2 linked regions of the Coturnix japonica genome follow. The protein of the gene in region 2 purifies or fractionates together with the protein of the main gene of each other region. This does not show direct contact. Links are inferred from orthologs where the notes say so. Each region holds a gene or a part of one and is shown on either strand. Other genes may lie near its edges. The genes, in order: PPP2CA and ESPL1.

Region 1 (3,319 bases), on a different chromosome or scaffold from region 2:
AACACCTCCACGTGAGCATTAGCTTTAGAATGCTCTTCTCCCTGTAAAAGGTCACGCTTCAGCAGGACTGAGCTTTCCAGAAACAGTTTGGAGCTCCACCTGAAGGTAGAATTTTTGCTAAAGAAAAAAGTAACCCCTCAAACCTTCCAGAAAAGGTGTGAATTAATGAGTTGTGAAGTGTCTTGCAAGTCTGACAATTACGCAGCCCTTCAAGAGAAAACCTCAGAAAAGCAAGGAAAAAAGTGTGTGAAGGCAGACCTGCACACATTTCTGTGTATAAGAAAGAACACCCCTCTGTTTTGTCACACTGAGCCCAAAAGCCAGAGTCTTTTAAACAGTCTGAATAGCATTGGGGCCTCCTTTCGAACAGCCAACTAAGCTCTTCTAAGATGTGTCCAGTAAGAAGTTGCAAGCAGGAGCCTTAATAATGCAGAACATTTGAATGTGTTTTGAACAAAATCGTCACCAGATTCAGATTAGGGGAAAGAAAAAGCTTTTAAACAGAAGTTAACACAAATCACACTTAGCTTTGTAACGGAAGCCTGGGCAATACACATAGTACTGAATTTCAAGTTATTCCTTTAATATTTAGAAAACTGGTTTTATTCTTAGTTTTTCAGATTTTTTCTGAAGTATTAGCACCTACAATGGAAATAACTCAGATTTACACTTGAAAAACAGCCATGCTCGATCAGTTAATTTGTATTTTTCTACTTCTGAACATTTCACAGAGCACCAAGAGGGGAAAAAAAAAAAGAGAGCAACATTTCAGTGGTGAGTGAGCTCTGTTCTCAGCTACATCACACCGCAGGACCGGGCATCTCACCAGGGCAGAATTCAGAAGGTCGCAGTTTTCCAGCACATTCCAATCACCTCATTTTTGTTTTTTCCATTATTTCCGGTGGAAATTTCTCTCCAGGTTTATAAAACCTACCCAGCTGTGCATTCGTTTATTAAACCAGAGCTGACCTGAGATGCAATTAGAATTTGACATTTTTCCATACTTAGTTCACAAGTTTATTATGAAAAACACTGCAGCTCCGTCCTGCAGTAACATTGTTTTACAGAAAAAAAACAGTTCTGTTCAAAGTAACTCACTAAGCTCCGACAATTACAAGGGACAAAATGGCTGGGCAAAGAGTGGAAAAGGGAACTGAGTGCAGACAAAAAAAATCAATACAATTAAATTAAACGGTATTCCCTGAAAACAAAAACAAACAAACAAGTTTCAGAACAAATATGAAGCCTTGGTACTTATTTTAAAAATGTTCTTTAAGCTTCAATGATTGTTTGCTGCTATCCTTATCTACAGTCATGCTGAATAAAGCTATAGCTAAATGGAAAGTTAAATGTATTCACGAGGTGTTAATGTCTACATCTTATTATTTGCAGTCTCTCAGAGAAAGCAAAAGTAACTACAAATAGCGCTATGCCAGAAACTGGTTTCTTGACCAACAATGTTGCTTCAGCATGCAATGAACTGGTTCATTCTAAAGTGGTCACAGTTGTTGACGACAAGAGGCTTTGTATTTGAATATGGCACGTCTTTTGGTCCATGTGAAAACAAGTTTGAATGTTAAATATTTTCTGACACTTTGGAGTTACTGTTGCTCTTCCCATTTTCTTTAGGTCAACATATGGTTCATGGCAATACTGTACAGGTCTATAATCTCTTTACAGGAAGTAATCCGGGGTGCGACGAGTCACATGCGGTTCACCTCTGCGCGGCGCTGGATCGAACTGCAAACTGAGAAGCACACGTATTAATGGCAGCATCCCATTCACACGCAGGTATTTTTTCAGAAGTATTTTAAACTTATCTATGGATTATTTCTATGCACTTGGAAGAAACAAATCTTGGCTTTACGACTCAAACCGGTCAGATATCAGTATACATCTAGACGCTAGGAGCCTCCAGTAATTATCAAAGAGTTAATTTACACAGTACTTTATACAATTCCTCATTTATTAGTAAAACTGCTACAGCAGCTCCAGAAGTCAACATCCTAACAAGACTGTCAGTCTCTTGCCCTAGACTTAAAGGTGGGCATAATTACCTCAGGTAATCCAACTTAAAATGAAATACTTCTGTAGTATTTCATTAAACTCTGACTTTATTGTATGTAATGAGCTTAATGACAGCTGTCCAGATGTCAGCAACAACAGTTTCCAATATCTGACTGTAAAGCTTCTTACATATGAGTAGCCCAACCATTCCACTGTCAGGTCACCTCCTGAAGGTGTACAGGGTAAAAACCCTACCTCAAAACCACAATTAGTTACTGTAGCAAAATACCACTTATTAGATCTTAAAATCATGTGCAACACAGACCTCATTTCTAAGCGTACTTACAAGGAGTATTTTAAAGTATCATCAAGTTCCATAATTGCAGCCTGGTTGCCACAACGGTAGCAATAGTTTGGAGCACTGAAAATTGTTACTACATTCCGATCATGGCACCAGTTGTACCCCTGGAGAGGAAAATAAACTATTTAGGAAAACCACATTCATTTGTTGCACCCCGTAACTTACTACTAAACTACATAGGCTTTGCAGTTTTAAGTAACACTAAGCTCTGTGTCTATTTCTCTTCTCAAATGAAAAGGGAAAATAGGAATTGCATACCATAGCATATAACATCATCCTATAGTAAGCATTAGATAAGCACATTTAAAAAATAGCAAGACTTCTCTCTCCACTACTTTGTTAAAAATTAAAATACCAATTCTGAGTTACACGATGTTTTAAAGGTGTGGGTTCTGGTTTTGATGATTAGAGGTTAACTTCTAGGAACAACCAAGAAGAAAACCACACACAAACCTTGTAAAGAGGCCAAGTGCACATCTCGGGCACCACAACAACTGACTACACTATAAACAGCTTAAACACACAGCCTTTGCTGCTTACCTCCATTACCAACTGATGGGCTCTTGAAACCAGCGTAAGGCCATTAGCATGGTTAAAGGTTTCTGAAATATCCTGTCCAAATGTATAACCTGCACCTCGAGGAGAAATTCCCCAGCCACCACGATCATCTGGATCCGACCACAACAGATCACACATTGGACCCTGTAAGAGATTTGGAAAGTGTTTCATAAATTGAAGCAAAAAAAAAAAAAAAGGCAAGAACAAAAAACATAACCTACACACTCACGTTGTCCCTTCACACCTCAGCATCTCTTTAAGGCTTGGCAAAATAACGTAAGAAAAACCCCACCTGCCACCTACAATAGTTAGTGTAGTTAAAGCTTGAAATACTAACAAGGAAGTTAATTTTAATGAAAGAAAAATTCACAGAAGTAGCTCTCACCTCTGAGA
Region 2 (4,261 bases):
GTGCCACGAGGACACTGACCGGTAAGGTCGAGGTATTTGACTTGCTCCCCCTGAGGAAGCCCCTCCGGAACATCCAGCATCTGCATCACGGTGTCCCGGCAGCCTGATGTCAGCTGCTGCTGCCCCGACCACCCAGACACCTGCAAGGGATGCAGTCAGAGGGATGGGGGTCCCATGGAGAGCCCTGCAGGGACTGAGGGCACATCTCTGGGGCAGCTCCAGGAGCTTCTGTGAGCCCCATTGGATGCTGCCCCCATCACCAGCAGTACCTGGGAGGAGCGGAAGGTATCGCAGGCAAAGCTGGTGAAGAGCTGGAGGCTGCGGTGCAGCAGCTGCTTCAGCACAAGCCGCTGCTTTGTGCCATCAGGAGGAACCTGAAGGAGGAAGGAGAAAGTCAACTGCGAGGCCACAACAGCAGCATGACCATTGGGAAGCGGGACACTGCTGGCAGGGCTACAAGGCCTCCAGCGCTCCTAATTAACAGGAGAGCTCTCATTAACCCCCAAAGCCTTACCATGGCCAGCAGCAGGCCAAGGACACGGCAGTGCCCTTCCACGAAGGCACAGAGCTGCAGCACATCCTCCGGAGGCAGCGGCTGCTGCTGGCTGCTCCTGGCACGTTCACTGAGGGACATGGTGACAAGTTGGCAGCCCTCAGCCAGCACCCTGAGGATGCGCCCCGAGACCTTCCCTGCACCACCCAGCGCTGCCGCTGCCTGCGCCAGGGCCGGCCCTGCTGAGCCCACCTTCTGGGCCAGCACCCGGCTCAGCTGCACGCCAGCCTCCAGCAGGGCCAGGGCCTCGCTGCACACCTTGGAGCCCCCCAGGAATCCTCGTGCATCTCTCACAGCCGCCTCCGCCTCCCCATAGCAGCCTCCCCTGCAGAGCTGCCGGCACTGCTCCAACAGCAGCTCCAACAAGCAAAGGGCCTGCGGCAGAGAGGGCGGCCGCGCCATGTCCTCACGGAGGGAGGTCAGGACACCCTGCAGCTCCCGGCCAAGGCAAGACAAGGACGGAGCCTGGGAGGCTTTGGAGAGAGTGGAGGCCACAGCCACCAGCTGCCGGGCAACCTGCGAGGTGAAGAAGGGCGGCACCAGGGGCAGCGCGGCCCCCTCCTCATCCTCCAGCAGCAGCACGAAGCGCAGGGCCTGCAGGCGGTCCCGCAGCGTCCCCTTGGTGCCCCACAGCGTGGAGAAGCAGCTGTGGGCAATAGCACTGAAGTTGGGTGACGGCGCGTGGTGCTGCTGGTGAGCGCGGAGCTGAGCGAGGATGAGTTCCGCTGCCCTCCTGCAGGCGTCACGATAGCCACGGGCAGCCATGTTCTTCAGCAGGTGGAAGAGGATCTTCTCCAGGTACAGAGGGGTCGGCGGGGCAGTGCTGCTGCAGACAAAGCCCCTGCAGGCTGCCTCGGCCAAGGCCATCACTGCGTTGGTGTGTGTGAGGTCGCAGCTGGGCTCCCCCACGCGCTGCACGCAGGCCCGCAGGATGCGGTCGCACACTGTGCTCTGTGCACTGCCCTGCACTGCTGTGCTGCTGGAGAGGCATTGCTGTAGGGGAGCAGAAAGAGGGAACGAGTGTGCAATCAGGGGTCGCTCAGCAAAGAGGTGGGACCCCCCCAACCCCCCTCAGCTCACCAGCAGCTCAGTCAGCAGCTCCTCTGTGCTCTCCAGGCTGGCGGTGCGGGACACGAAGTTGGCACCTTTGAGGCGTTTCATGGCAGCACTGGGGAGACAGAGATGGGGGAGTGAGGTGAGAAGGAAGGGGGGGGCAGAGATGTCCCACTGCGTGAAACCCCCCCAGCCTGAACTCCCATTTCCCACCACTCAAGGGCTGCCCTCTCAGTGCTCAGGGACCCCCTGAGCCCCGTTCTCTCCTCTCTCCCACCCCCCCTCTCCACCACCCCACAGCCCCCCAGCGGCCCTCAGGTATCAGACCCCCCTCTCTCCTCCAAAAGCCATTCCTTAGGGCACACATCCATCCCCCCCACATCAATCCACCCAGCAGGCTCTTCTCTCCCCCCCAAGGTTCGCCAATCCCCCCCATTCCCAATCCTCAGCCTCCCCAAGGACTGAAGCCCCCTCTGTGCCATCAGCTCCCCGTTTCATTGACCGCAGCCCCACACCCAGCCCCACTCTTACACCACCCTTATCCTAACGCCCCAGACTCCCACTGCCCCCCCCACCCCCACCCCGGGGCCTCCTTAAACTCCCCCCGCACCCGCTCCCTCCAACTCCTCGTTCCCAGCCCCCAGGGCCCCGCAGGCTCCTCCATCCCTTCTCCCCCATCCCTCCTCTCCCCCCACCCCCCCTATAGGTACCCAAACCCCCCGCTCCCCCCGGTTCGGACTCACTCCGTCCCCGCCGCCGCCGCCTCTAACTGAGCTCCAGCCCCGCCACGCGCCCCATTCAAGTCTGTCCCGCAGCCAATCAGCGCGCAACGGGGGGACGCCGGGACTTGTAGTGCTGAGCTCCGCCCCGGGACCGGAACCGGGACCGGGACCGAGACCGAGACCGGGACCGAGACCGAGAACGAGACCGAGACCGAGACCGGGACCGAGGAAAGCGGAGCGGGTCGGGCCCGGCAGGAGGGGCTGTGTGAGGCTGGAGCTGCGGAACGGACCGGAACAGAACGGACCGGAATGGAATAGAACGGAACGGAGCTCCGCCGTTATGGGGCTGCGCTGCCGCCCCGTCCCTCCCCTGCGCTGCTCCGTCCTTGGGATGTTATCGCTGCTCAGCGCTGCCCACACAGCCCGGACGGGAGGAACGGGCACACAACGTGTGATAACGTGTCCTTATCAGCGTGTGCTGCTGTATCCACTGCAGAGGGAACTGGATGGGCCAAGGTTAACGGCACGAGTTTCAATAGGACCAATGTCGGGTCCTGCATTTTGGTCATAACAACCCCTGGCAGCCCTACAGGGTTGAGGTGTTGTGGCTGGAAAGCTGCCTGATGGAAAGGGACCTTGTTGTGCTGATGGACAGTGGGCTGAATATGAGCCAAAAGGGCCAATGGCATCCTGGCTTGTACCAGGAATGGTGAGCAGGACCAGGGAAGTCATCCTGCCCTGTATTCAGCATTGGTGAGGCCTCACCTCGAGTGCTGTGTTCAGTTTTGGGCACCTCAGTACAAAAAGGACATGGAGGTGCTGGAGAAGGTCCTGAGAAGGGCAGCAGGGCTGGGGAAGGGCTTGGAGAATCAGCCCTATGAGCAGAGGCTGAGGGAGATGGGGCTGTTTGTGCTGGGGAAAAGAAGGTTGAGGGGAGACATTATCACCCTCTTCCAGTATCTGAAAGGTGCTTACAGTGAGAGTGGGGCTGGTCTCTTCTCACTAGCAACAAGTGACGGGATGAGGGGAAATGGCCTCAAGTTGTGCCAGGGCAAGTTTAGGTTGGATGTTAGGAAGAACTTCTTCATAGAAAGGGTAGTTAAGCACTGGAATAGGCTAAACAGAGAGGTGGTTGAATCGCCATCCCTGGATGTGTTTAAGAGCCGTTTGGATGTGGTGCTCAGGGATATGATTTAGCAGAGGGTTGTTAGTTATGGTGCTATGATTAGGCGGAGGTTGGACGTGATGATCTTCGAGGTCTTTTCCAACCTGGGAAATTCTATGATTCTATGAAAAGAAACACGAACAACAGGAAAACTGCACTGATTTGGTGGAGCCCGTGAGATGGGATCCACACAGCGGGCAGAACTGGACTAAAGGCTGACAGAGAGCATCAATACCTTAACAGAAGACATCAATACCTTAACAGAGAGCATCACATGTTAACAGAGGGCACCAGCACGTTCCCCTTCGATGTCCTTAAGAGCTTCTCTGGCTGTCACGGCTCTCTTTGGGACAAGAGGAGCCGTTGTGGGGGATCAGAGGGTTCGGAATAAGGTGTTGGGGGTGATGGTGGAGGAGCAACAGTGGGCCGGCAATGGGCTGACAATGGGCCGAAAATGGGCCGACAATGGGCCGGCAATGGGCTGACAGACAATGATCTGACAGACAATGATTTAACAGACAACGGGCCGAACTCTTGTCCCGCTTGGAAATGCCTGATCTCGAGGTCACTGAGCTCCGAACTTCATCCCAACCGAGATGCAGCGATCAGAGTTGATGCCACCCTCGGACCAATCGCAGCGCGTCTTTCACCTGCCACGAGTGGCTCGTCCAATGGGAGGCGGCGTTGCTCTTCCCGTCCCGCCTCGGAGCCAATCAGCAGCGAGCTACGAGGAGGTGGGCGGGACTCGGCGAAACCGAAAGTAAAACC

Evidence for each region.
Region 1: the proteins of ESPL1 (region 2) and PPP2CA purify together in Homo sapiens (affinity purification with mass spectrometry; 3 studies listed by BioGRID and IntAct, with this or other methods). This does not show direct contact. The link is inferred for Coturnix japonica from reciprocal best matches to the Homo sapiens genes ESPL1 and PPP2CA.

What each region holds. Positions count from the first base shown.
Region 1 is NC_029528.1:2,267,958-2,271,276, forward strand, and holds the end of PPP2CA (serine/threonine-protein phosphatase 2A catalytic subunit alpha isoform), read right to left. Parts: intron 3,071-3,319; coding exon 2,909-3,070; intron 2,473-2,908; coding exon 2,354-2,472; intron 1,748-2,353; coding exon 1,675-1,747; 3' UTR 563-1,674; downstream 1-562. UniProt on the Homo sapiens protein: Catalytic subunit of protein phosphatase 2A (PP2A), a serine/threonine phosphatase involved in the regulation of a wide variety of enzymes, signal transduction pathways, and cellular events.
Region 2 is NW_015439867.1:541,659-545,919, forward strand, and holds the start of ESPL1 (separin), read right to left. Parts: upstream 2,946-4,261; 5' UTR 2,350-2,945; intron 1,722-2,349; 5' UTR 1,715-1,721; coding exon 1,634-1,714; intron 1,547-1,633; coding exon 515-1,546; intron 375-514; coding exon 270-374; intron 141-269; coding exon 20-140; intron 1-19. UniProt on the Homo sapiens protein: Caspase-like protease, which plays a central role in the chromosome segregation by cleaving the SCC1/RAD21 subunit of the cohesin complex at the onset of anaphase. During most of the cell cycle, it is inactivated by different mechanisms.